Arabidopsis thaliana: one gene and its partners. Each later gene encodes a partner of the first gene's protein in a complex. Each region holds a gene or a part of one and is shown in the gene's direction. Other genes may lie near its edges.

Region 1 (7,403 bases):
TTTTGAGGATGGGAGACCTCTCGTATTTGCTGCTCTTTTTGATACTTGGCAGAACTCAGGAGGTGAACCGTTTATCTTCGTTATATTAAGCTCTGAGTGTCTATATTCTTATTGAAGCCGATCCTGAAACATTTCCTAGCCTTCCTTTTAAGAGATGTTTGAATTGCTTACTATCTTTCTTTCTCATCACTTTTAACCTCCATATATTTAGGTAGGAAGTTTTAACGTGTATTAGAAAATTGAAGCAAAACTTGCTGAATGAATTTAAGTCTTTGGTTTTATGTCCTTTTTGGTAGCTACAATATCTCGCCTGTTTTCAATTTAAGTAACAGTTACTTTTTTTTTCTTGCAGGTGAGACACTTTACACCTTTACGATTTTGACAACCGCTTCCTCTTCAGCCCTCCAATGGCTCCATGGTTAGTAATATATACACTGGCTACATCGTGTGACATTTTTTCTTATTCAGTAATGATTCTCAGTAGCACAATGAAACACATAGCATATGAAGTTGGGAATTGTATATTTGTCTATGGACGCTTGAAGCTTGTGTTCCTCGTTGTTTAAAATGAGGTTTAATCAAACCCGCACATTAATAAAGATACAAACTTATCATAGTAGTATGAGTTGTTTCTGTTTTCGTATTACATCTGATTTGATAAGCTCTTTTAGAAAAGATACATATGTAATTGCATGAGAATCTTTAACTTCTTTAAGTACTGGAATAGAACAAGCAGTGGCTGTTTAAGGTAGTTTAATATTGAGAGTAGCGTTTCTTATACAATGCTTACATTATTAGCGGCTGTTGATGATTGTTTTGTTGATTTGCAGCAGCCCTGAATTTTTGTGTTAACACGTGAGTTTGTTTATTTTTCATGTAAGACAGAATGCCTGTAATTCTTGGTGATAAGGATTCAATCGACACATGGTTAGATGATCCCTCGACAACGAAACTGCAGCCATTACTTTCACCATATGAAAAATCGGATTTGGTATGCAATTGCTTACTTCCTCGCATATAAGAGTGGTCTTTCCTTTTTCATTTACTTGAGATTGAAGTTTGAACTTTCAGGTATGGTATCCAGTAACCTCTGCAATTGGTAAACCAACGTTTGATGGACCAGAGTGTATTCAACAGGTACGGTTAACATCTTTCCCTTTCTTAGTAGTGTACAACTCAAATCTCAAGTTTGATCTCAAGTCGCATTAAACATATTGTCAGGATCACTATGTATTTGTACAGTCTGTATGCTTATTGTCATTTCAAATAAGGATTATGCCACCTGCAGATACCGCTAAAGACTTCACAAAATAGCTTGATCTCGAAGTTTTTCTCAACAAAGCAGCCCAAAACAGATGAAGGAGACAAAGAAACCAAATCAACAGATGCAAATATCATAGTTGATTTGAAAAAGGAACCTACGGCTGAAAAGGACACGTTTTCTGACAGCATTAAGAAAATTGAAGAACTAGACGGGGAGAAAGATATGTCGAATGTAGCCAAAAATCTGGAGTTTCAAGAGATTGTGAAAGCAGAACCATTTGTTGAAGATAACTCAGCAGTTGCGTCACTTCCTGAACCTGTAAAGAATGATGTTCAGGAGGGTACAAAGGAAGAAGGCAAATCCCTAAAGACTGGTCTTACTAAAGAAACAGGTGAGAGCAGTGCCAGTATACCGGCTGAGTCCTACATCCTTGATCTCCAAAGAATCTCAAAAGAAGAACCCGAGACTCAAAGCCATCATTTCTTTACTGCAGATGAGAGATTGAATCAGCTGCATGAGGCTGTCGAAGATATTCCAGGAAATGAAAACCAGAAGACAGTTTTAACTAGCCCGACGACGAAGGAAGGTGGCTTAGTGTTTAGCGAAAAGAGTGGGACAAAGCGAGACTATGAGGTATTCTCAGCTCAAGAAAAGCCACAGAAACACTATGAGAGGTTGCAAAATGTTAAAAGCAGTGGGAAACAAGGAAAGATGCATGGAATGGGGAAATCTAACATCAAGAAATCTAAGGAGACGCAGTCTACATTACATTTCTTTTTCGATGAGAAATAGTTTTGAGTCTACATAACATCTATGAGGACCATGTTGGCCTACTTTTGTTGTAGATAATGTTAGATAAGACCATCGTTTTGGGAATGTTGCTTGTATTGTATGTGTAGTGTTTGATCTTTGATCTAAGGTAATATTATTATGAATGAATTGGGTTTTTAATGTCCTTGGTGGATGGTAAAAATTTGTGAACCAGGTTTCGATAATCAAACCCGGTCGCTAAACGATTTTATCGGTTTAAATTAGATCCGGTTTCTAAATTAAACATCGAATTCTAATTTCCCCTGACCAGAACCACCAACGCTTTGAAATCGAAACAGACACAGATATCATCAGAACGAAGAACTTCAGCCAAAATCTGATTTTTCTCTGTTTCACGACAAGAAATCGAATTAACGAAATCTAATGAAACCTTCAAAATCGCATCACAAGGAGAAAACCGCTCGTCGGAGGTCAGAAATCTTCATTTTCCTCTCTCCCCTTTTCTTCAAAAGCTAGGGTTTTTACACAAAAACATCAAAACTCGTCACTTTTCCTTCACAGAGAGGAGAAACTAGAGGAATCCGATAATCCAAAATACAGAGATCGTGCTAAAGAAAGAAGAGAGAATCAAAATCCTGATTATGATCCATCAGAGCTTAGTTCTTTCCATGCCGTTGCTCCTCCCGGAGCTGTCGATATCCGGTAGCACTTGTCTTTCCTCGATTACTTCATTATCTTTCTAAATTCTAATTGGGTTTCTCTAAATTTCTGTTGCTGTGTACTTTTTTTTGTTGTAGTGCTGCTGATGCACTTAAGATATCTATTGAGAACAGCAAATATCTTGGAGGTTTGTGTTAGGTTTACAAATTTATTCAAAATGTTTTTTTTTTGAGGTGCTTATGTTGTTTTTATGATATGGTTTAGGTGATGTTGAACATACCCATTTAGTTAAGGGTTTGGATTATGCTTTGTTGAATAAAGTACGAAGCGAAATCGTTAAGAAACCTGATGGTGAAGATGGTGATGGTGGGAAGACTAGGTAGATTTGGTTATACTTGGTTTATTGACTCATTTGGCTTCTTTGATTCAAGTGCTAATTTTACTATATTAACAGTGCGCCTAAGGAAGATCAGCGAGTTACTTTCCGTACCATAGCTGCAAAGGTATGCAATTTTGTTCTGAACTTTGCAGATGAGGAGCAAGTTTTGGGATGTAGTTAACGCGCTTGATGTTTTTTGTTTCTCTTGTCTTTGATCTGTTTCAGTCAGTTTACCAGTGGATTGTTAAGCCTCAGACTATCATCAAGTCTAATGAGATGTTTCTTCCCGGTAGAATGACATTTGTCTATGATATGGTATTGCTTGTTAACTCTTTTTCAGGAAGATTCAATCTTATTACATGTTCTTATGTCGTTGTTTGTCTTAGGAAGTAGTCATACATGTGTATTCTGCTTCAACGATTCTTCTTCGAGTATTAGTTAATATTTAGTTAAATCTTCGCTTCTAGTTTAAATACATGTCTCAGGAAAATTTTAAGAAGGTAGCTTAAGCTGTTTTGCATTACCTTGTTAGCGATTTATTCACGATTTAATCTATTTGTTAGAAACCTTATACGCAGAATTGGTTGTAAAGGTTTTTTAGTTCGATTAACGTGTCTGCTCTTCTTGAAGAAGCATATTCTTTTTCTCTTGCAGATAGAGACACCATACGACAAGAAAAGTCAGTTGAATATACTATTGATATTTGGTAGTGTTACGTATGAAGTTTCCTTTGAGATACTTAGTCTCAGCTAAGCTGCTAGGCTAAGCTTATAGTATGGGTTTAGTCTGCCCTTTGAAAGCCTCCCTGTTGATGTATATTAATTTTATTCCCTTTTGTTTTTAATTCTATTTGTTGCTTTTCAGGAAGGTGGCTATACCCATGACATACCGACCACGTTATATAGGAGTAAAGCTGACTGCCCGGTGCCCGAGGTATGTATACTTAGAGTCCTTGTTGTAATAGTCTTCTTGATCCTGGAAAAATCTTTAGACTGTAAGCAGTGATGTGACATGATCGTTTTGATTCTAATGAAAATAAGCCCACTCTGCCTGTCTCTGCAACCTATTTTCTTTTACAGTGTTGATGTATTCAATACAGCTAATATCGATTATATAAGTCATTAGTTTTGGTAGAAGCATAGATTTTCTTTAAGTAATTATAAAAATCTTTTTAAACTAAATTCAACTTTCTTTCTACTAATCTGGAACCAAAATTAACGTTGCTTAATATGTTTGTTTACTGAACATAATAAAAATTTATAATTGAAATCACTGCTGCAATTTTTGCGAGAATTGTTTCATTTAACAGGCACTGTTTCTCTGTCCTATCTCCCCAACAGGAATTTGTCACAGTCAATGTTGATGGTTCTGTGCTAGATCGAATTGCTAAAATCATGTCATATCTTCGCCTTGGGTCGTCGGGGAAAGTTCTCAAGAAGAAAAAGAAAGAAAAAGATGGGAAAGGTATTTTGCATCTACTGGTGCATTTTTTTGTAAAGTTTAAGTATTAGCAGACCTGATTCACTTACACTGGTTAAATAAGTTCTCTGCTTTTCCCGAAATTTGTTAATTATCTGGTCTTACAGTTTGGAGCCAAGAATGTAAAGAGTGTACCTAGTCTTTGACCACAGTACTAGTAGTATCTACTGATGTCTGGTTGTGTTCTCGCTTATCAATTGTGAAGAAATTTAGTTGTATCATAAATATGTTGCTGCCGTCCCTTGATGGTTCTGTAAACTCTGTTGTTAGTAATTTTTATTATGCTAATGTGGTGCCAGTACATGTTGTAGTTCTTGTTTCACATCAGCATACAATTGGATACAAGTTGGCTGGTTTCTGATTCTTTAGCAAGATAATTTGCTAATTTCTATTCTATCATACGTTCATGCATTTTTTATATTATTTTGCCTTATTAATCACATCCACTGCAACTTTTCAAATGCAGGAAAGATGTCAACTATTGCTAATGATTATGATGAAGACGACAATAAATCTAAGATTGAGAATGGATCTTCTGTGAACATAAGTGACAGGGAAGTTTTACCTCCTCCTCCGCCATTACCACCTGGGATAAACCATCTGGATTTGAGTACGAAACAAGAAGAACCCCCTGTTGCCAGGACAGACGATGATGACATATTTGTTGGTGAAGGCGTCGATTACACGGTTCCTGGTAAAGATGTGACACAGAGTCCTATTTCTGAGGACATGGAAGAATCTCCCAGGGATAAGGAGAAAGTATCTTATTTCGATGAGCCTGCTTATGGTCCAGTGCAGGAGAAGGTACCTTATTTCGCTGAGCCTGCTTATGGTCCAGTGCAGCCATCTGCTGGTCAGGAATGGCAAGATATGGTCAGTTCACCCTAGCTAATCCTTGGTTGTATTTATTCTCAAATCTTGATCCTCGTCTGCAAATTTTGCGTCTTGGTATGTAGTTATTAGATGTCATTTATTCCCATATTTAGGTTTTTTCTGGTGGTTGTGTGTTTTTCCAGAGTGCATATGGTGCAATGCAAACTCAAGGACTGGCTCCTGGGTACCCCGGAGAGTGGCAGGAATACCAATATGCAGAGCAAACTGGGTATCAGGAGCAGTACCTTCAACCTGGAATGGAGGGTTACGAGGTCCAACCAGAAACCGATGTTTTACTAGATCCTCAACTCATGTCGCAGGAAGAGAAAGATAGGGGTTTGGGATCGGTTTTCAAGCGTGATGACCAAAGGCTTCAACAGTTGAGGGAGAGTGACGCAAGGGAGAAAGATCCAACTTTTGTATCCGAGAGTTATTCAGAGTGTTATCCAGGTTACCAAGAGTACAACCATGAGATTGTCGGTAGTGATGAAGAACCTGATTTGTCTAAAATGGACATGGGTGGAAAGGTATGCCCTGACTTAATTACATGTTCCTTGTTATTTATTGTGGAAGAGCAAAATTACAGTATCTGGTTGTTGAATGTACATGGAACAGGCAAAGGGTGGTTTACATCGATGGGACTTTGAGACAGAAGAGGAATGGGAAAAATATAATGAGCAGAAGGAAGCGATGCCAAAAGCGGCGTTCCAATTCGGGGTAAAGATGCAAGATGGTCGAAAGACAAGGAAGCAGAACCGTGACCGTGACCAGAAGCTCAATAATGAACTTCACCAGATCAATAAGATACTTACGAGAAAGAAGATGGAGAAGGAGGGTGGGGATGTTGCTTCTTTGGATGCCGCCGAGGCACAAACTCCTAAGAGATCCAAGCATTGATTTGTCTCTTGTCTACTCCAGTCATTCTCTCGTAATCTATTTTGTATCTTCAAGTCTGTTTAGGTTTTTGGTACCTTGAGTTCAAATTCTTAATTTAGAAAAGATTTTACGTCCAAATTTTGAAATGATAGCATTCTTATTTCCTAATTACCCATTAAACACGAAGCAGTTTTGGGAGTTGGGACAGCCTTAGGTTTTAGGTTTAGCATCACCAAAAATGAGACGCTTCAGTAACCAACCCAACAAGACAAGCAAAAAACTAGAAAAATCATAAAACCCTAATCAGAAAAATGGCCACAGATTCCATGAATGCAGCCACCGTCAATGACTCCGACCGTTTCATCTTCTCCACACCTCTCTCCGCTCGTGGTTCAACCAAACGTGACGCCATCTCCGTCGAGGATCTTGGCCAATACACTCTTCTCAAACTCCATTCAAATCCGGTTTCACAAACTACATAGATCTTGGCCAATACAACGACGAAGATGACGATGTAAGAATCCTCTGTTTCACACCAATCTCCATAGAAAAGGGACAGTCCTCTGTTTGACCAATACAACGACGAAGACGCTCTTTCGACTGCGAGATATGTGTTGAACGAAAACCAAGGATTGAATCTTTTCGAATCAATGGCTGTTCTCACACTTATTGCAACGATTGTGTCTCAAAATATATAGCTGCTAAGTTACAAGACAACATTCTCTCAATCAAATGCCCTGTTTCTGGTTGCTCGGGGCAGCTCGAGCCCGATAAATGCGGTCAAATCCTGCCAAGAGAAGTCTTTGATCGGTGGGGAGACGCTCTTTGCGAGGCGGTGATTATGAGTTCAAAGAGATTCTATTGTCCTTATAAGGATTGCTCTGCTTTGCTCTTCTTGGACGAGAGTGAAGAAGAGAAGATGAATGTATCGGAGTGTCCTCATTGCCATAGAATGGTGAGTGTAGAGTGTGGGACTAAGTGGCATCCGGAGATAACATGCGAGGAGTTTCAAAAGCTAGCCGAGAACGAAAGAGAAAGAGGGGATATATTGTTGAAGAATATGGCAGAGAGTAAGAAGTGGAGAAGATGTCCTTCTTGCAA
Region 2 (5,384 bases), 7.9 Mb from region 1:
CTTTAAAAGAAAATCTTCCAAATCAGCAATCAAAGAACTTGTCAAACAACTAAATCGCCGTTACCTAGATTTATAAAAATCACCCCTTTGATTGCTGAGTGACCTCGTCCCCGTCACGCCTTTTTTCTTAAAGAATAATTTAAGAAAAAAATAATAATATCTCGTCGTCCTTTTAGGCTTTCTCCGATTGTTCTTAATATTCCTCCAAACTTTCTCTCAATCTCCGTCAAAATAATCACTCTCTCTTTGTTTTTTCTCACAATTCTCCGAACATGCGTTTGCTTTCTTTATTCTCTAATAAACCTAGTAAACTCTTCTTCTTCGTTACTACTATATAATATAGCGGAGAGTTTTGGAACCAGAGAGAGGTTTTACGTTTTTCTTATTTTATTTCTCTCCATGGGGATTCTTTGGGATTCGTTTCTCTTGTTACTTGTGTCAACGTTTGCTCTGTTCTTAGTTAGGATCCTGTTATTCAAAACTGGATTGATTTACATGGTCAAGTTATGGCGTAGGAAGATCATCGACTGGTTTCATGTTTACCAATTCTACAAAGTCCCAGAATTCAACGACAACGTTCAAGAGAATCATCTCTACCAAAAAGTCTACATGTATCTAAATTCCTTAAGCTCGATCGAGAATTCTGATTTCACGAACCTCTTCACCGGGAAAAAGTCCAACGAAATCATCCTCCGGTTAGATCGGAACCAAGTCGTTGGCGACGAGTTTCTCGGCGCTAGAGTTTGTTGGATTAACGGAGAAGACGAAGATGGAGCGAGGAATTTCGTTTTGAAGATTCGTAAAGCTGACAAACGGAGAATTCTCGGTTCTTATCTCCAGCATATACATACAGTATCTGATGAGCTTGAACAGAGGAACACAGAGCTTAAGCTTTTCATCAACGTCGGAATCGATGATCATCTGAATAAGAAGAAGAAGAAGAACGGACGGTGGAGATCGATTCCGTTTGATCATCCTTGTACCTTCGACAACATCGCCATGGAAACGGATCTGAAGAACAAAGTCAAATCTGATCTCGAATCTTTCCTCAAAGGTAAACAGTATTATAATCGTCTGGGCCGTGTTTGGAAACGGAGTTATCTCTTATACGGACCTTCCGGTACCGGAAAATCAAGCTTCGTCGCAGCAATGGCGAATTTCTTAGATTACGATGTTTACGATATAGATCTCTCCAAAGTAGTTGATGATTCAGATCTTAAGATGCTTCTGTTACAAACCAGAGGCAAATCAGTGATCGTGATCGAAGATCTAGATCGACACCTCTCGACGAAATCAACGGCTGTGAATTTATCTGGGATTTTGAATTTCACTGATAGTATTCTCAGCTCTTGCACCGCCGATGAACGGATCATGGTGTTTACGATGACTGGGAAAGAACAAATTGACCCGGCTATGCTTCGACCGGGTCGGGTCGACGTACACATTCATTTTCCCTTATGTGATTTCACGGCGTTTAAAACGCTCGCTAATAACTACTTAGGTGTTAAAGAGCACAAGCTTTTCTCTCAAGTTGAAGGAATATTTCAAAACGGTGCGTCTTTGAGTCCCGCCGAGATCGGAGAGTTGATGATCGCGAATCGTAACTCGCCGACTCGTGCATTGAAGCATGTCATCAATGCTTTGCAGACTGATGGTGATCGGAGAGGAACTGGACGACGTTTGCTTTTAGAAAATGGTTCGAGAAAGTCGACGTCGGAGGATGTTTCTGATGATATGAGTGGTTCGCTTTGCGGCGGTGGCGGAGGAAGTTCGCCGGCGGTGAAGGAGTTTAGGAAGTTGTATGGGTTGTTGAGAATTAAAAGTAGTAGAAAATCTGGATCGTTCGATGTGGCTCGAGAGATGAGGGACGGCTAGTGATTAAAAAGTTTTTAAAAGTCAGCAGCCACGTGGGTTGGTTTTATTGGTTGAGAGAGAGTCTGGACAAAAAGCGTAGACTAGAGAAAGTTGTTACTCTGTTTTTATTGTTTTTGGGTTTTAGTTGATGTACAGAAGTTTATAAGATTTTGCTTTTGAGTCCCCAAAGTATGAGATTCTGAGTTTTGAGCACTTTGTAATTGAACATTTTGGGCCGGTTGTAAAACAAAAGCCCATAGCGTTAAGCGGATTAATAATTTTAACGGAATGACAAATATGCCCTTCATGGTAACAGCGTCAATAACACGCTTTTCGGTTCATCATTATAAGATTTTGTGTCATTAATACGAAGCTCCGTCTTCTTCGCCGAGCGTCGTCGTCGTCTTCTAGGGTTTATCTTTCTCGTCGTCGTCTCTTCAGATTCTTCAAGGTAAATTGAATATCTCCCTCAGAAGATGAAGATTTATCGAATCATCAAAGATACTTTGCGAGCTCTTCGAGTATAAATGTTCTGATCTTTGTTGTCTTTGTTTATGTTGATCACAATTGGTGTTAGGAATTCGATTGCTTTTGCAAGAATGAGACATGTGTACGTTGGGAATTTCGACTATGATACTCGCCATTCGGATCTTGAAAGATTGTTCAGCAAGTTCGGGAGAGTGAAGCGAGTTGATATGAAGTCTGGTAAAACGTTTTCTTGCACTTGTACTCCTTATGGCGATCAATCTGCTGTGTTGTAGTCTCTGTTTGATTCTGGAATTTGAGAGCTTCTCAGGCATTATTGATTGATACTTTTTCTACTGAAGCATGAATTAGTGTTAAGAGTGTGGAGAGAATTCAAAAGGAACCATGACTGGGGTTGTGTTTAAGAGAGGGATTCTCGTATGTAAGTGTTTGTTTGGTCGCAGGAGCTTTCTCTAAAGGAGCATGACTGTGTTTCCTCTTTTCATGGGATTGCCAATTTCTTCCTGCAAATAGATTCCTACATTTTCTCATGCCTACCGTTATGATGTTGTGCCCACAATCTTCGCTGAGCCTACAATCTATTGCCTTGTTTCTTCACGCCTTTCATGTCAGAATGGTGAAGCAAGGCTTAGCAACCATTCAGAATTGAACAGAAATTTGGATTTTATTACCTTTTCATAGGCTACATTCTACAACTGCACATCTACATCTTTATTTACTACTCTACATCGAACGCCTCTACTTCTTATGTACACCAGCCTTCACATTGATGCAGGTGTTGTATATTTATTTAGTTTTTGTCTTTCTCTAGGTGAAAAGGTGTCTTCTAATCGACTAACTCCTGCATTGCAATTTCTGTGGGCTGAAACAGTTTGTCAATGTATATGCTCGCTCTTCTTATCTTGAGTTTTTGTTTTCTTGCAGGTTATGCTTTTGTGTATTTTGAGGATGAGCGCGATGCTGAAGATGCAATCCGTAGGACTGACAATACCACTTTTGGATATGGGCGACGCAAGTTATCAGTTGAATGGGCCAAGGTATCTTTTTCTTCTTTTTAAAAATTAATCTTATGCTCTGATATTTTCAGAGAGCTCTAAGTTTCTTTTGGCTTTCAGGACTTTCAGGGTGAACGTGGGAAGCCTCGTGATGGAAAGGCAGTCTCGAATCAGAGGCCTACAAAGACACTCTTTGTCATCAACTTTGACCCTATTCGCACAAGAGAGCGTGATATGGAGAGACACTTTGAGCCATATGGTAAAGTTCTCAATGTTCGCATGAGGCGCAATTTTGCTTTTGTTCAATTCGCAACCCAGGAAGATGCAACCAAGGCTCTTGATTCTACACACAACAGGTAACAACAAACCTGCTTAGTTAGTACCTATTTATCTGACATGTAGTGATTGATCGAGTGGTAATCCCTTACATTGATTATCCTCTCTTGGCAGCAAATTACTGGATAAGGTTGTTTCTGTTGAGTATGCCTTGAGGGAGGCTGGTGAAAGAGAAGATAGATATGCTGGCAGTCGAAGAAGGAGATCTCCTAGCCCAGTGTATCGGAGGCGTCCTAGTCCTGATTATACCCGTCGTCGCAGTCCTGAATATGACAGGTACAAGGGTCCTGCTCCTTATGAAAGACGTAAGAGTCCAGATTATGGGCGTCGCAGTTCAGACTATGGTAGAGCAAGAGCTAGGAGTCCGGGCTATGACAGAAGGTAACAGTACTTGGCTTCTGAATGGTCAATATCCTTATATATAGTGTTATGTGCTACTCTAATTGTCTGATTTTTCTTTTCTATTTTTTAACAGCCGGTCCCCGATTCAAAGAGCAAGAGGTTGAAGATGTTGTTGGGCGATGGATTTTTAGAATGTATGGGCATGGTACAAAAACAAGTTCTTAGTACTGAGTCTTTACCGCTTATGACTTGAACCGTATGTGCTTTGCACTCTATGTGGTGTAGAAAGTATTAGTAGCTTATAATGGCAATGATCTCTTTTGGAATTGGAATAGTTTCAAGGCAATCCATTCAGTTTTTCAGGATCAAGAAATCATTACTTCATTTTATATTCAGAAACATTTATAGGTTTTGTAGAAGTAAAAAGAGAATACACAAGAAAGGAGGACGATCATTCAAGGCATAGAAGAGAGATTGTGATTACATAGTTCTTGGGTGAGTGCTTTCTCCAACCAAGTTTCGGCGTCTTCCATCATCTCAGGGCTTAACCGAACCATGAGAACGCAGAATTCGGTTTGGTTAAGAGCACCATCTCCATCGAGGTCTCCTTCTCTAACCATTCCTTGAGCATCTTCCTTGCTCATACCTTCAATTCCAAGTATCCCTGAGTTTCGTCTTAGAGACTCAGCTGTGATGAGATGTCTCTCTGGATCCGCAAGCAAACTGAAACCTTTGCATAACTCTGATACAAACTCTTCAACATCCATCTTCTCCGCCATAACTGGTAACATATCTTCGTATTTGGTCTCCATCTTCGTGGTACTAGTAGTTTCTAGTAACATAGATTTCTCGGTTGGTTCCATTAGAGGAAGACAATGGAAGAGAGAGAAGAGATTTTGGTGAACTCTTTTGATTAGTTCCAAAGGGATATATAAGTGAGTGGCGTATCTGTACCGATGTGTTTGTCACGTTCGTGTGGCCTAAAACTCTCTCTTGAATCGCAGCCGTTGGATTCTGAAAGTTGAAATAATGAACGGCTGATATTCATTCCAAGATAAAATGCGATTTCGTGAGTAGGGAGGGAAGCAGCTGATTATTAGGTGGTTTCGTGGAAAGTTCGAATGGGCCGTGAATACGACGCATTCCCACTCCCATATATTGTTATCAAAAGAAAGACAAGACAATGGTAAGTTTCGGAGAAGTTTCGTTTCTTGATTTCTTCCGTCGTGTCTTTCAATTATTTACTTCAATGGAATTGGATTCTCTTACAATAATAACGACATGTCGACATATAATAAAATATCTCTTTCTCCGTCCAAGCCTTAACTGATTTGATGTAACGGTAATTTCTCGTCTGAATTTGAGATGTGA
Region 3 (4,818 bases), on another chromosome or scaffold:
CCAGTCTGTTCCTCGCTTGCAAAGCTGAAGATGAGCCATGTCAACTGTCCAGTGTCGTTGTAGCGTCTTATGAAATAATTTATGAGTGGGATCCTTCTGCCTCAATTAGAATCCATCAAACTGTAAGTGTATACATACATCTATGTATTGGTAAATTCGCACTGTGCATTTTGCTAATTTATTACATGTTGCTCTGCCTGTAGGAGTGTTATCATGAATTTAAAGAAATTATTTTGTCCGGGGAAAGTCTTCTGCTGAGCACAAGTGCTTTCCATTTAGACATTGAACTTCCCTACAAACCTCTGGCTGCGGCTTTGAATAGACTGAACGCTTGGCCTGACCTTGCAACAGCTGCATGGAATTTTGTGCATGACTGGTAAAGACCCTTGTTAATAATATCTGCCCGATTTTTCCCCTACATTGAGTTTGAATCTTATTATGCATTGTGTGTAGGATTCGAACCACACTATGCTTGCAGTACAAACCCCATGTTATTGCAACAGCCACTGTGCACCTAGCTGCTACGTTTCAGAATGCGAAAGTAGGCAGCAGGAGAGATTGGTGGTTGGAGTTTGGAGTTACAACTAAGCTATTAAAAGGTTTGCTGTTCAAACTCTATTTTTTCCTCTGGTATTATTGCAGTCATTTGATCAAGTGAGATGTAGTGTTTCTATAATGTTAGCGCTAGGAATATGTGGTACTGTAGCTCCAGCTCATGTTAGGTTCTTACCCTGTGCACATATTGAGTTTGGAATTAGGTAGTGGCCTGAACGAAGAGATGTGCTGCTATTGATTTTAGCGGTTGATTAAAAATAATTGGATGTTTTCATTATGGTGACAGAGGTAATCCAGGAGATGTGCACACTGATAGAAGTGGACAGAAGGAGGAATATGCCACCTCCACCTCCACCTCCAAGAAGAGAGTTAAGTTGGGCAATACCTGCAGCCGTAAAGCCGGTCCATATGGCTAGAGCTTATCCGTTTCACAGCTACCCTTTGCAGTCCTATAGACAGGCTGGCATCTGGTGAGCCATTGTTGAGCAGCATGAAGATGTAATCTCTCTTAGAGTCTTGAGTTGGTTTAGCAATAAAAGATTTCCGTAGAGACTCATGAGAGAGGCAGTGTAGCATTATATAGAGATCCGAGTGAGGTGCTTCTGTCTAAGTTAAGCGTCTCATGTATGACCAAAGTGGATTCTCTCGAGATTCTTGGTCTCTGTTCTCGATAGAGAGAGATTATGTATAGAAGTGTCCCATTCACATGTTATAATACTAGCTGACTTTATATCGTTTGTATATCTGGAATCTATGTTTTTGGTTTCTTTAAAAAGTTTAAAGTTGTTTTGATTTTGACTAATTCTCTCATTGTTAAGTAATTTGGTTTTTGATGAAGTGCTATTAGGTCTGTGTTGAGTTGAGACTTGAGACGAACACAATCATCATATGATCAAGCTTATACCGATCGGATAAGTAATTAACCGGTTCAATTAACTACACCTAGCTTATACCGATCGTATAAACCGGTCAAGAACCAAAACCGCTTGGTTTCCATTCTAGACCAAACCGGATTCTAGTTTCCATTATTATTATCTTTTTTATCGGATTAAAAATATAAATCCTTATGTCAGGAGATCCCATTCTCTGTCTCTCTGTCTTTCTCCCCCAACTCGCGAACAAAGCAAACCCTAGATCATCCATCGGCGAGTGAGACGGCAGCTCCTCGTCGGTAATTCCTTCCACCGGCGGCGACCACTCACCCTCAGATCTCTCAATCCCACTCATCTCTGTAACATTCTGTACGCTTTCTCTCTCTCTTTCTTCGCTTTTGTGATCTATTACGGCTCGGTCTCTGTGCCTCCCAGCTCTATTTTGGAGCACTGCTTCGTCTCTGTGTTTATTTGGCTCCTTTGTGTGTTTCTCTATCTCTGCTTTTCTTTTGTATTGCTCTGTTTCCGATTTTATATCCATATGTCTCTGGTTATTTGGTTATATCTATGTGTGATTCTTTGTTCTTTTTTCCATTGAATTCAATAGCTGACTAAGATCTCTGCCTTTTATCTTCAATAGTTGCTCAATCTTTTCGCTTTCGTAACATAATTTAGTTTCTTGTTGATGTTTTTGATATCTACCAATCTCTTTTCAATTTATGTCTATATGTTGCTAAATATCTTGTTCAATGACTGATTTCTTAAACTCAGGGTGGAAATTCTGCCATGGCGGAGCATTTGGCTTCAATCTTTGGTACTGAGAAAGACAGAGTGAATTGCCCTTTCTACTTCAAGATTGGCGCTTGCCGTCATGGTGACCGGTGCTCGCGTCTTCACAACCGTCCTACCATCTCCCCAACACTCCTTCTTTCAAACATGTACCAAAGGCCTGACATGATTACCCCTGGTGTTGACGCTCAGGGCCAACCACTCGACCCGCGTAAGATTCAGGAGCACTTTGAGGATTTCTTTGAGGATCTTTTTGAGGAGCTTGGAAAGTTTGGCGAGATAGAGAGCCTCAACATTTGTGACAACCTTGCTGACCACATGATTGGCAACGTATATGTTCAGTTTAAGGAAGAGGATCAGGCTGCAGCTGCTTTGCAGGCTCTGCAAGGTAGGTTCTATTCAGGACGTCCCATCATTGCTGATTTCTCTCCTGTGACGGATTTCCGCGAAGCCACGTGTAGGCAGTATGAAGAAAACAACTGCAACCGTGGTGGGTACTGTAATTTCATGCATGTGAAGCTTGTTTCGAGGGAACTAAGGAGAAAACTCTTTGGGAGATATCGGCGATCATACCGCAGAGGAAGTAGAAGCAGGAGCAGAAGCAGGAGTATTAGCCCCAGGAACAAGAGAGATAATGACCGACGTGATCCTTCTCACAGGGAATTCAGTCATCGGGACAGAGATCGCGAGTTTTACCGTCATGGAAGTGGAAAAAGGAGCAGTGAGAGGTCGGAGAGGCAAGAGAGGGACGGTTCAAGGGGTAGGAGACAAGCAAGCCCTAAACGAGGAGGGAGCCCGGGTGGCGGGAGGGAAGGAAGTGAGGAGAGGAGGGCAAGGATTGAGCAATGGAACAGAGAACGGGAGGAGAAGGAAGAGGGAGGAGCATAAAAACAGTTGTTTACTCAAATCACAATTGCTGCTATGTGGTTTCTGCGTCTGCTTCTCTGCGTTTATTCTGAAATCGGTAAAATCTGGTGATGGATTTTTCATTTGGCTGTTCTAATTTGGAACTTGAAATGAGTGGAATCAACTTCTTTAGATTATAAAATGTTTGGGGTTACTTTCTTGTAGTTTTGATTAGGAAAAACCGCTCTGTCCCCTTGTTATTGATTTTCACCAGTGTTCTTTAGAACTTTGTACTATCTTCTGTTGGTTAAAACTTAAAAGAGTTCTAGTTTAATTCGAAGTTGTCTATTGTTCTTCAATGCTTGGGAATACTAACGAGTTTCTGTGTCATGGTTCAGTTGTGGCACTAATTCGGGTCAAAGCACCTCAGAATTTTAGACAAAGATAAGGGGCAAACACTTTGGGCCTTTGATTGCATTGATTTGTGTTCCAAACACGTCAGAAGTTAAGTCTTTTTCTAAACCAGTTATCGAATGGGTTAGTCTTGGTTGCCATTTTTCAAACATACTGGCTTCCAATTGGTCATGCCAAATATGTAGCTTACTAGACCTATATACTTTCCAAAATTACTTCATAAGCTGTTTGTCTAATTCACGCAATGAATACATATATGCATAAAATACTCCATATGAGTAAAAAGATGTATAATATAGCGGAATATATAACAGAAGTCGACAATGCAATATACATCAACCCTAAACCATAAAATCATGAAGGTCATTTTGGCTTGTAGGCGTCGTCGAGTCCCTCTTCAGTGATCGTTGTGGTTCTTCTGGACAGAATATTCAAATGGTCATATAACTCATAACTCCCAAACGGCCAAACCATTGTTCTAATTGTGATGACGAGTCAAACCACTAATCACAATAAATTAATTACTTTTTTTTTTGTCCCACACATGTTCACAAATATATGTTTAGTTAAAAAACTCAGAATTAATCAATTACAATGCATTAAAATATCGCTACCACCGTCACACCACCCCAATACATCCGTCCGATCTAGCATCAACACCCACAGCCCATCCCATTGACACGGCGGTGTCATTTCTAAAGCATCAAACAAAACATGTCATTGTTTATTCTTACTTTACATTGACTGAATAGTCTGAATTAACATAATATATATATATATATATATTTACGGAATTTTATCATATGAATTCTCAGTTATGGAGATTAGTAGTTCAATAGATTGGCCACGTGGAGAAGTCTTTGCCGTCTTCGCTTGAGTGGATATATTATAGTAATAAAACCCATACGATATCTTGTTAACTTTTTAAAAGTTTTCTTACATCAAAAATATACAAGATATCAAAGTTCAAAAATTAGAAATCTGAAAGATCGTAGCTACATAGTGAAAGATGGATTGTTGAACAGCGTTATAAAGTCACATTAATTCCATGTAATAATAATACCTCAAAATCTCAAATACAACACATGCACGTGTCTAGCTTGCTGCGTTTCTATATACATTATGCAACTGAAAATCGAATTATAATGATACTAAAATGAAATATATGATCTTAAATTTGTTATTGTTAGGAAAATATAAAGATGAGGAATGGGGAAAGTCTGTTGGACAGTGATGCCCTAAATTTGAGAAAGCATATATTCCCCTGCTCTAAAGCCTTTGTCCTCTTCTTAGACAACTTTAAAATAAATAATAATGCTTTCCCATACTTTTTAGGACCCTC
Region 4 (5,410 bases), on another chromosome or scaffold:
GAAAAACTCAACTCTGGTGCCAAATCATTAAGTTTACACAATATAAAATGTTAATGGTGTAAATAAATTACAATATACAACAGTTTTTAACATTGCATGTAGCATGCTTAAATTCTACAAACTTTTCCCGTGAAACAAATAAAAAAACATCCCATCAATTTTGTTTACGGTTCCAGTTTTTGTTTTTATGTATTTTAAAAATATTTCAATGTATAGTTTAAGTAGCTATATTGAATCTATGATTTGGTAAGACATGAGAAATTTATATCAAAGTGGCGGTGTCCATGTATACAAAAATCTAATGTTGACGACAAGTCGTTTCATGTTAACAAAAAAAATACCGACTAGTCACATCTCTACAAAGTGCAGGTAACGTTTTAAGAAATAATTATCATAATCCGTTGGCAAAAAAAAAAAAAAAAAGACTAAAACAATTTAATGTATTGGTCAAAAAACAAAACTTCTACACACGATCTAAGACTATATCCATATTGATAAGATGAATTGAATCGATATATATTCTTACTTTAACAAAAAAGAAAGATCATTAGAGTTATCTTGTCTTACTAAAAGTCTTAGATAAAGACATAAAAATGGAACAAACATCATTGGGAATGCAACATGCATGTACATATTACATATAGTAAATATAATATAGTTAAAAGCGAAGTCATTATTATATGACTAAACTAAGATAATTAAAACATGTAAGCACACATTATCGGGAATGTATTGATATTAAAAGGGCACCACGTAGGTCAGGGTGGCCTCTCAAACCCCCCAAGGGACAAAGCAGCATTAGGATTGTCACTAAAGTACTAACCATGTGTTATTTTACGATATTATCCCCATTTGGTGTTAATGGTTCCAAGTGTCAATGTAAATAACGTTGACATATATAAGCCGTGTTTTGTTTTCACGTTGTTTAGGAAGCCAACGAGGATTGGGTAATTGGATCCGAATCAGATTGACACTTTCTTCTTCTTTACTTTTCTTGCTCTTCCACTTGACAATACCAATTTAGGGCTTGGCTGGATACAAATGTTTTTATCCTTCTTCAACCCGTTATCCGTTTTACTAGACTTAAAAAAAAAAGAATAGTATGTGTAAATATGATACATGATATCATGCATTTGTTAACTACGATAAAAAAAATCGAATATCTATATTGTCCATTTTGCAGATATCCCTTTTAAATATCTAACTAAATATCTGTAAATGTGAGGTTTAAAATTGAAATCCGTATATTTTTATTGATATGCACAACGATAGTTACAATAAGTAACATGACACTAATAATCACTCCCCAAAATTTTTATACAATTAGATATAATTTTAAATACTAATATTCTATAAATATTTCACAATTTTAGAAATTTTGATACTAACCAATTAATGTTAGCTTTGGATAACGAATGAAGTTATGGCCATCTTATTTCTTCTGAGCCATCTATTTAGCCATAGCCATCCAAAAATTAAAGAGTATCTTATTCCTCCCATGTCCAGCTTAAGGGACAAGCCAGGGAATAGCGACACGTGTAAATTGAATGTCGATTTTGTAAAAGGAGGTAAGTGGGGTCTACACAGTGGCTGCAAATAAACGAATCATAACTAAACACGTGTCAAAGACACAGTCTTAGAGGAGTCGATGTAAGTGGGACCCAGCATGACTTATCTTGGTTCAGAATGTTTTCCCCAATGGATAAGTGTCTTTTTGTTTTTGGTGGGATGATGAAACCTTTTCTATTTACGTCGACGCAATTTTAAACAATGAGACTCTTTTTTTTTTGTGTGTGTGCAATCGTTTAGAGACTTGTTCACATGAATTAGGTGCCCAATCATGTGTAAATTGGTAAGGTATATGTAAAACTAACAATTGTTACACTTGCCAACTCCAAACTTAGATTTAATCAGCCTACTATATTTTGAAAATTTAAGAAGATACAAGTACTGATGCAAAAGTTGAAAACCAAAACCAACTCATATGGGCCATTAAGCAACTGAAACTTGCTCATATTTTTAAAATTTTAACCAAAAGGTTATGGGTTTTAGGCCCATTAGTTTTTTTCAGACTGAGAATCACGTCAAGTTACAGTAATTAGACATCAAACTCTAGAAACATGTTTGCATAACTTTTGTTGTCAAAGATGTTTTGCATAGTTTCAAAATCCGCTTTCACCTCAATTCTCTTTTTACGTTAACTAATCGACTATGGGAGACTAGTCTTACATTTTGGTCGCTAAAACTTTGTTTATGAATATATGGATTACCGAAAAATAAGGGACCATGAAATAACTAATAAATGACCAAATAATATATGATGTTAATTTTTTTTTACTTTTCAGTTTTCATATAATAATGAAATAACTTGGTTACTCTCTTTCCTCGCCGTAGTCTGAGTCTGAACCCTAAAACATCCCGCTTCGCTGCTCAGGACCAAGAATCTCAGGTACCTTGTTAACTACTCGCTGTAACTATTATCGATATCCATATTTCTTCACAAAATTCGATTCTCTTTCGTTCAGATTCAACTGATCTTTGCAACATGACGAGGGTTTATGTCGGGAATTTGGACCCACGCGTCACCGAAAGAGAACTCGAAGACGAATTCAAGGCCTTCGGTGTTCTTCGCAAGTAAGTCCTATCTCTGTACTCAATTTTGTTTCAAGCCATACGAATTATGACTCTGAATCTTAAAAATCGCAGTGTCTGGGTAGCTCGTAGACCTCCTGGCTACGCATTCCTCGAGTTCGATGACGAAAGAGATGCTTTGGATGCAATCAGCGCATTGGATCGTTAGTGTTCTTCTCATTAGACCTCTTAGTTACCATGTAATGTTTGTATTATTGTTTGGTCATTGAAAAGTTTTACTCTTGTGGCGTATACTTCAGGAAAGAATGGGTGGCGTGTGGAGCTTTCTCATAAAGATAAAGGAGGTCGTGGAGGTGGTGGTGGTCGTCGTGGAGGTATTGAGGATTCCAAGTGCTATGAGTGTGGTGAGCTTGGACATTTTGCTCGCGAGTGTCGCCGTGGTCGAGGCTCTGTGAGGCGTAGAAGCCCTAGTCCCCGTCGTCGTAGGAGTCCAGATTATGGGTATGCTCGCAGGTAACGATCCAACGGAAACATTCTTATTGAGCTGCTTAGATGAGATAGTATGTCATTAGTATGTCCATTGTGTTAACATATCCATTGAAATTGCACTTTGTAATCATGTATAGGGGCTGAGTTGTTAATGTTGATAGTACCTTTCTTGATGTTATAATCGCTTTGTGACATACATTTTTGTTCCTGTGGAATTGATTTTGTTCAGGAGTATAAGCCCGCGTGGAAGAAGATCTCCTCCAAGGCGTCGCAGTGTTACTCCACCTCGCCGTGGGAGGAGCTACAGCAGATCCCCTCCTTATCGTGGTTCACGCCGTGATTCTCCTCGCCGCAGAGACTCGCCCTATGGTCGACGTTCGCCATATGCCAATGGGTAAAAGTTCTTTTCTCTTCTTGGATTTAGGTTTACTTTCTCAATCTGCATGACTCAACTTCAGCATTGTCTATGTAGATGTGAATAACATTTGAAGTATTTTGATATAAGGTATATATTCGTTTGCGTTTCTGCAGGGTGTGAAACTGGACCCTGAAGAGAAAGAAGCTATTACTAAGCTATGATGCTATATCTACTCTGTGGCGCCTTTTAGGATAGATCTTTATATCTGCTATTATGGTATTAGCTCTTCTAGGTTTGGTTGTTGAGCATGGACATGTCATGGTATGTTCGAGTTTTATTAGACAATTGGATTTGGTGAGTTCTCCTTCATGCTGTTTTCCAACAGCCGTCTTGACTTATTCTCTATAACACGCACTGGCCTGCTGTCTTCACACAGCGTCCTTGAACCCCTACACTTGAGGTCGTTCTTTCGTATCCATAAATGTTTTGTCTCTTGTTGAATGCACTTTCCTTATTATATAGACATATCTAAAAAGCTCAACTGTTTCCACTCTTTTTCCCTTGTGAGGTATGATTTATCGGGGATCTCTTGGCAGCACAGCTGCATCTTACTCTCCCCACAACTTAGTTTTATCATGAATCTGCATCCTCAACTCGACCAACATCAGCTAGAATTTGCTTGTTACATTGTGTGACTTTTAGATTGCCCTGCTCTTTACTCACCACTCCTACCCCAAGTCTGCAACCAAGCTTCTATTGAGAAAGACGAATCTGTTTCTTCACCCCGTCCTCTTCCTAGCTCTCGGCTGCTATATCACCACTTGGTTTCTCTACTCACTTTTGTTTTTCGGTCAACTTTGTTACACATCTGTTGGTGGATCACACACTTACATTAAATTAAACCCATTTGTGGATGCTTCTTTTTTATATTGCTTGTGAAAAACGTGTTAGCTTAGTCTTTTGTGTTCATGATTTGGTTTCCCACTTATGCTTTTCTTTTCCCAATTAATCTCGACTTTTAATCTGTTCTTCTTCGGCCGCCACATGTTTTCATTTTAATACTTTTCTAAATTTGGTTTTGAGGCAATTTGGTTCAGATTTGTTGGTATACCAATTCTTACGTCAACGTCAATGAAGAAACGACTCCATATTTACGAATAAAAAACTGTAGTAGATCTGTACTCTCCCTTTTTCTTTGTAGAGAAGAAGAGAACTGTGAAAGAAGATGAAGATTGAGGAGGATCTAGGTTTCATCAACATACTCAAACGAGCAACAAAGCTTCTATGTGGTAACATCAATCTTGTTCTCTTCCTCTTCCTTTGCTCTCTCCCCCTCTTTTGTTTCTTGATCTTCTTCGAGCTTTCACTCCAAACCACTGTCTCACTCGCTTCTCAATACCTCGTTCGACAACTCACTAATTGGGATTACTACTACGTTCCTCAAGATGCTTCCGTCTTGGAGAATCTGATTCCATTGCTTATCCAGACATTTCTACTCTACTTGTTCCCGTACGGCCTCATAGACCTCTTCACCACCACCACAATAGTCTCTGCATCTTGGACTGTTCACACGTCGGAGGAGGAACCGTTAAGGTTCGGTCAATTGGTTCGGAGAACGGTAGAGATATGTCAAAACAGACTTGAAGGTTGTCTGATCACCTCTCTGTACGTCCTTCTCTTGTCAACCCCTGTTTTCTTTGGCTTCTTATTTGTAGCAACGAACTATTTCCACATCATTTCTCTGACCGGATCAGGCGAAAACTCATACTACTATTCTATAAACATTGAAGAAGATGCCGAAGGCTATTACAGAAGCAGCAGTGTCAACAGTCCGGTAAAGATGTTGTTTGATGCGGTTTTAGCTATGTTTCACGGTGCTATCTTTCTCGGTTTACTGGCGATGTTCAGCAAGTGGAGTGCGGGATGGAACATGGGTTTGGTTGTTTCGGTGTTAGAAGAGGAAGAAAATGG

Evidence for each region.
Region 2: SMU2 (region 1) and RS31a share a complex: the UniProt entries of both Arabidopsis thaliana proteins name them as parts of the spliceosome.
Region 3: SMU2 (region 1) and ATU2AF35A share a complex: the UniProt entries of both Arabidopsis thaliana proteins name them as parts of the spliceosome.
Region 4: SMU2 (region 1) and RSZ21 share a complex: the UniProt entries of both Arabidopsis thaliana proteins name them as parts of the spliceosome.

The regions. Positions count from the first base shown.
Region 1 is NC_003071.7:11,253,969-11,261,371, reverse strand, and holds SMU2 (RED family protein), read left to right. Parts: upstream 1-2,301; 5' UTR 2,302-2,458; coding exon 2,459-2,505; intron 2,506-2,596; coding exon 2,597-2,737; intron 2,738-2,832; coding exon 2,833-2,882; intron 2,883-2,959; coding exon 2,960-3,074; intron 3,075-3,149; coding exon 3,150-3,198; intron 3,199-3,299; coding exon 3,300-3,389; intron 3,390-3,938; coding exon 3,939-4,007; intron 4,008-4,414; coding exon 4,415-4,538; intron 4,539-5,019; coding exon 5,020-5,426; intron 5,427-5,569; coding exon 5,570-5,953; intron 5,954-6,041; coding exon 6,042-6,323; 3' UTR 6,324-6,440; downstream 6,441-7,403. Other genes in the region: AT2G26470 (embryonic stem cell-specific 5-hydroxymethylcytosine-binding protein), read left to right, coding at 1-62, 353-418, 882-991, 1,072-1,137, 1,289-2,056. UniProt on the Arabidopsis thaliana protein: Auxiliary spliceosomal protein involved in splicing of specific pre-mRNAs that affect multiple aspects of development.
Region 2 is NC_003071.7:19,135,562-19,140,945, reverse strand, and holds RS31a (RNA-binding (RRM/RBD/RNP motifs) family protein), read left to right. Parts: upstream 1-2,183; 5' UTR 2,184-2,305; intron 2,306-2,431; 5' UTR 2,432-2,453; coding exon 2,454-2,559; exon of another isoform or gene 2,560-3,087; coding exon of another isoform or gene 3,088-3,115; exon of another isoform or gene 3,116-3,218; coding exon of another isoform or gene 3,219-3,264; coding exon 3,265-3,377; intron 3,378-3,455; coding exon 3,456-3,691; intron 3,692-3,785; coding exon 3,786-4,052; intron 4,053-4,146; coding exon 4,147-4,177; 3' UTR 4,178-4,380; downstream 4,381-5,384. Other genes in the region: AT2G46620 (P-loop containing nucleoside triphosphate hydrolases superfamily protein), read left to right, coding at 400-1,875; AT2G46600 (Calcium-binding EF-hand family protein), read right to left, coding at 4,469-4,876. UniProt on the Arabidopsis thaliana protein: Probably involved in intron recognition and spliceosome assembly.
Region 3 is NC_003070.9:9,612,939-9,617,756, forward strand, and holds ATU2AF35A (U2 snRNP auxiliary factor small subunit), read left to right. Parts: upstream 1-1,968; intron 1,969-2,198; 5' UTR 2,199-2,213; coding exon 2,214-3,104; 3' UTR 3,105-3,419; downstream 3,420-4,818. Other genes in the region: CYCT1;3 (cyclin T 1;3), read left to right, coding at 1-122, 204-376, 454-599, 842-1,029; AT1G27640 (uncharacterized protein), read right to left, coding at 1,525-1,968. UniProt on the Arabidopsis thaliana protein: Necessary for the splicing of pre-mRNA. Probably active at the 3' splice sites.
Region 4 is NC_003070.9:8,426,300-8,431,709, reverse strand, and holds RSZ21 (RS-containing zinc finger protein 21), read left to right. Parts: upstream 1-2,224; 5' UTR 2,225-2,449; intron 2,450-2,468; exon of another isoform or gene 2,469-2,525; 5' UTR 2,526-2,545; coding exon 2,546-2,634; intron 2,635-2,706; coding exon 2,707-2,795; intron 2,796-2,891; coding exon 2,892-3,105; intron 3,106-3,310; coding exon 3,311-3,475; intron 3,476-3,612; coding exon 3,613-3,619; 3' UTR 3,620-4,453; downstream 4,454-5,410. Other genes in the region: AT1G23850 (uncharacterized protein), read left to right, coding at 4,665-5,410. UniProt on the Arabidopsis thaliana protein: Probably involved in intron recognition and spliceosome assembly.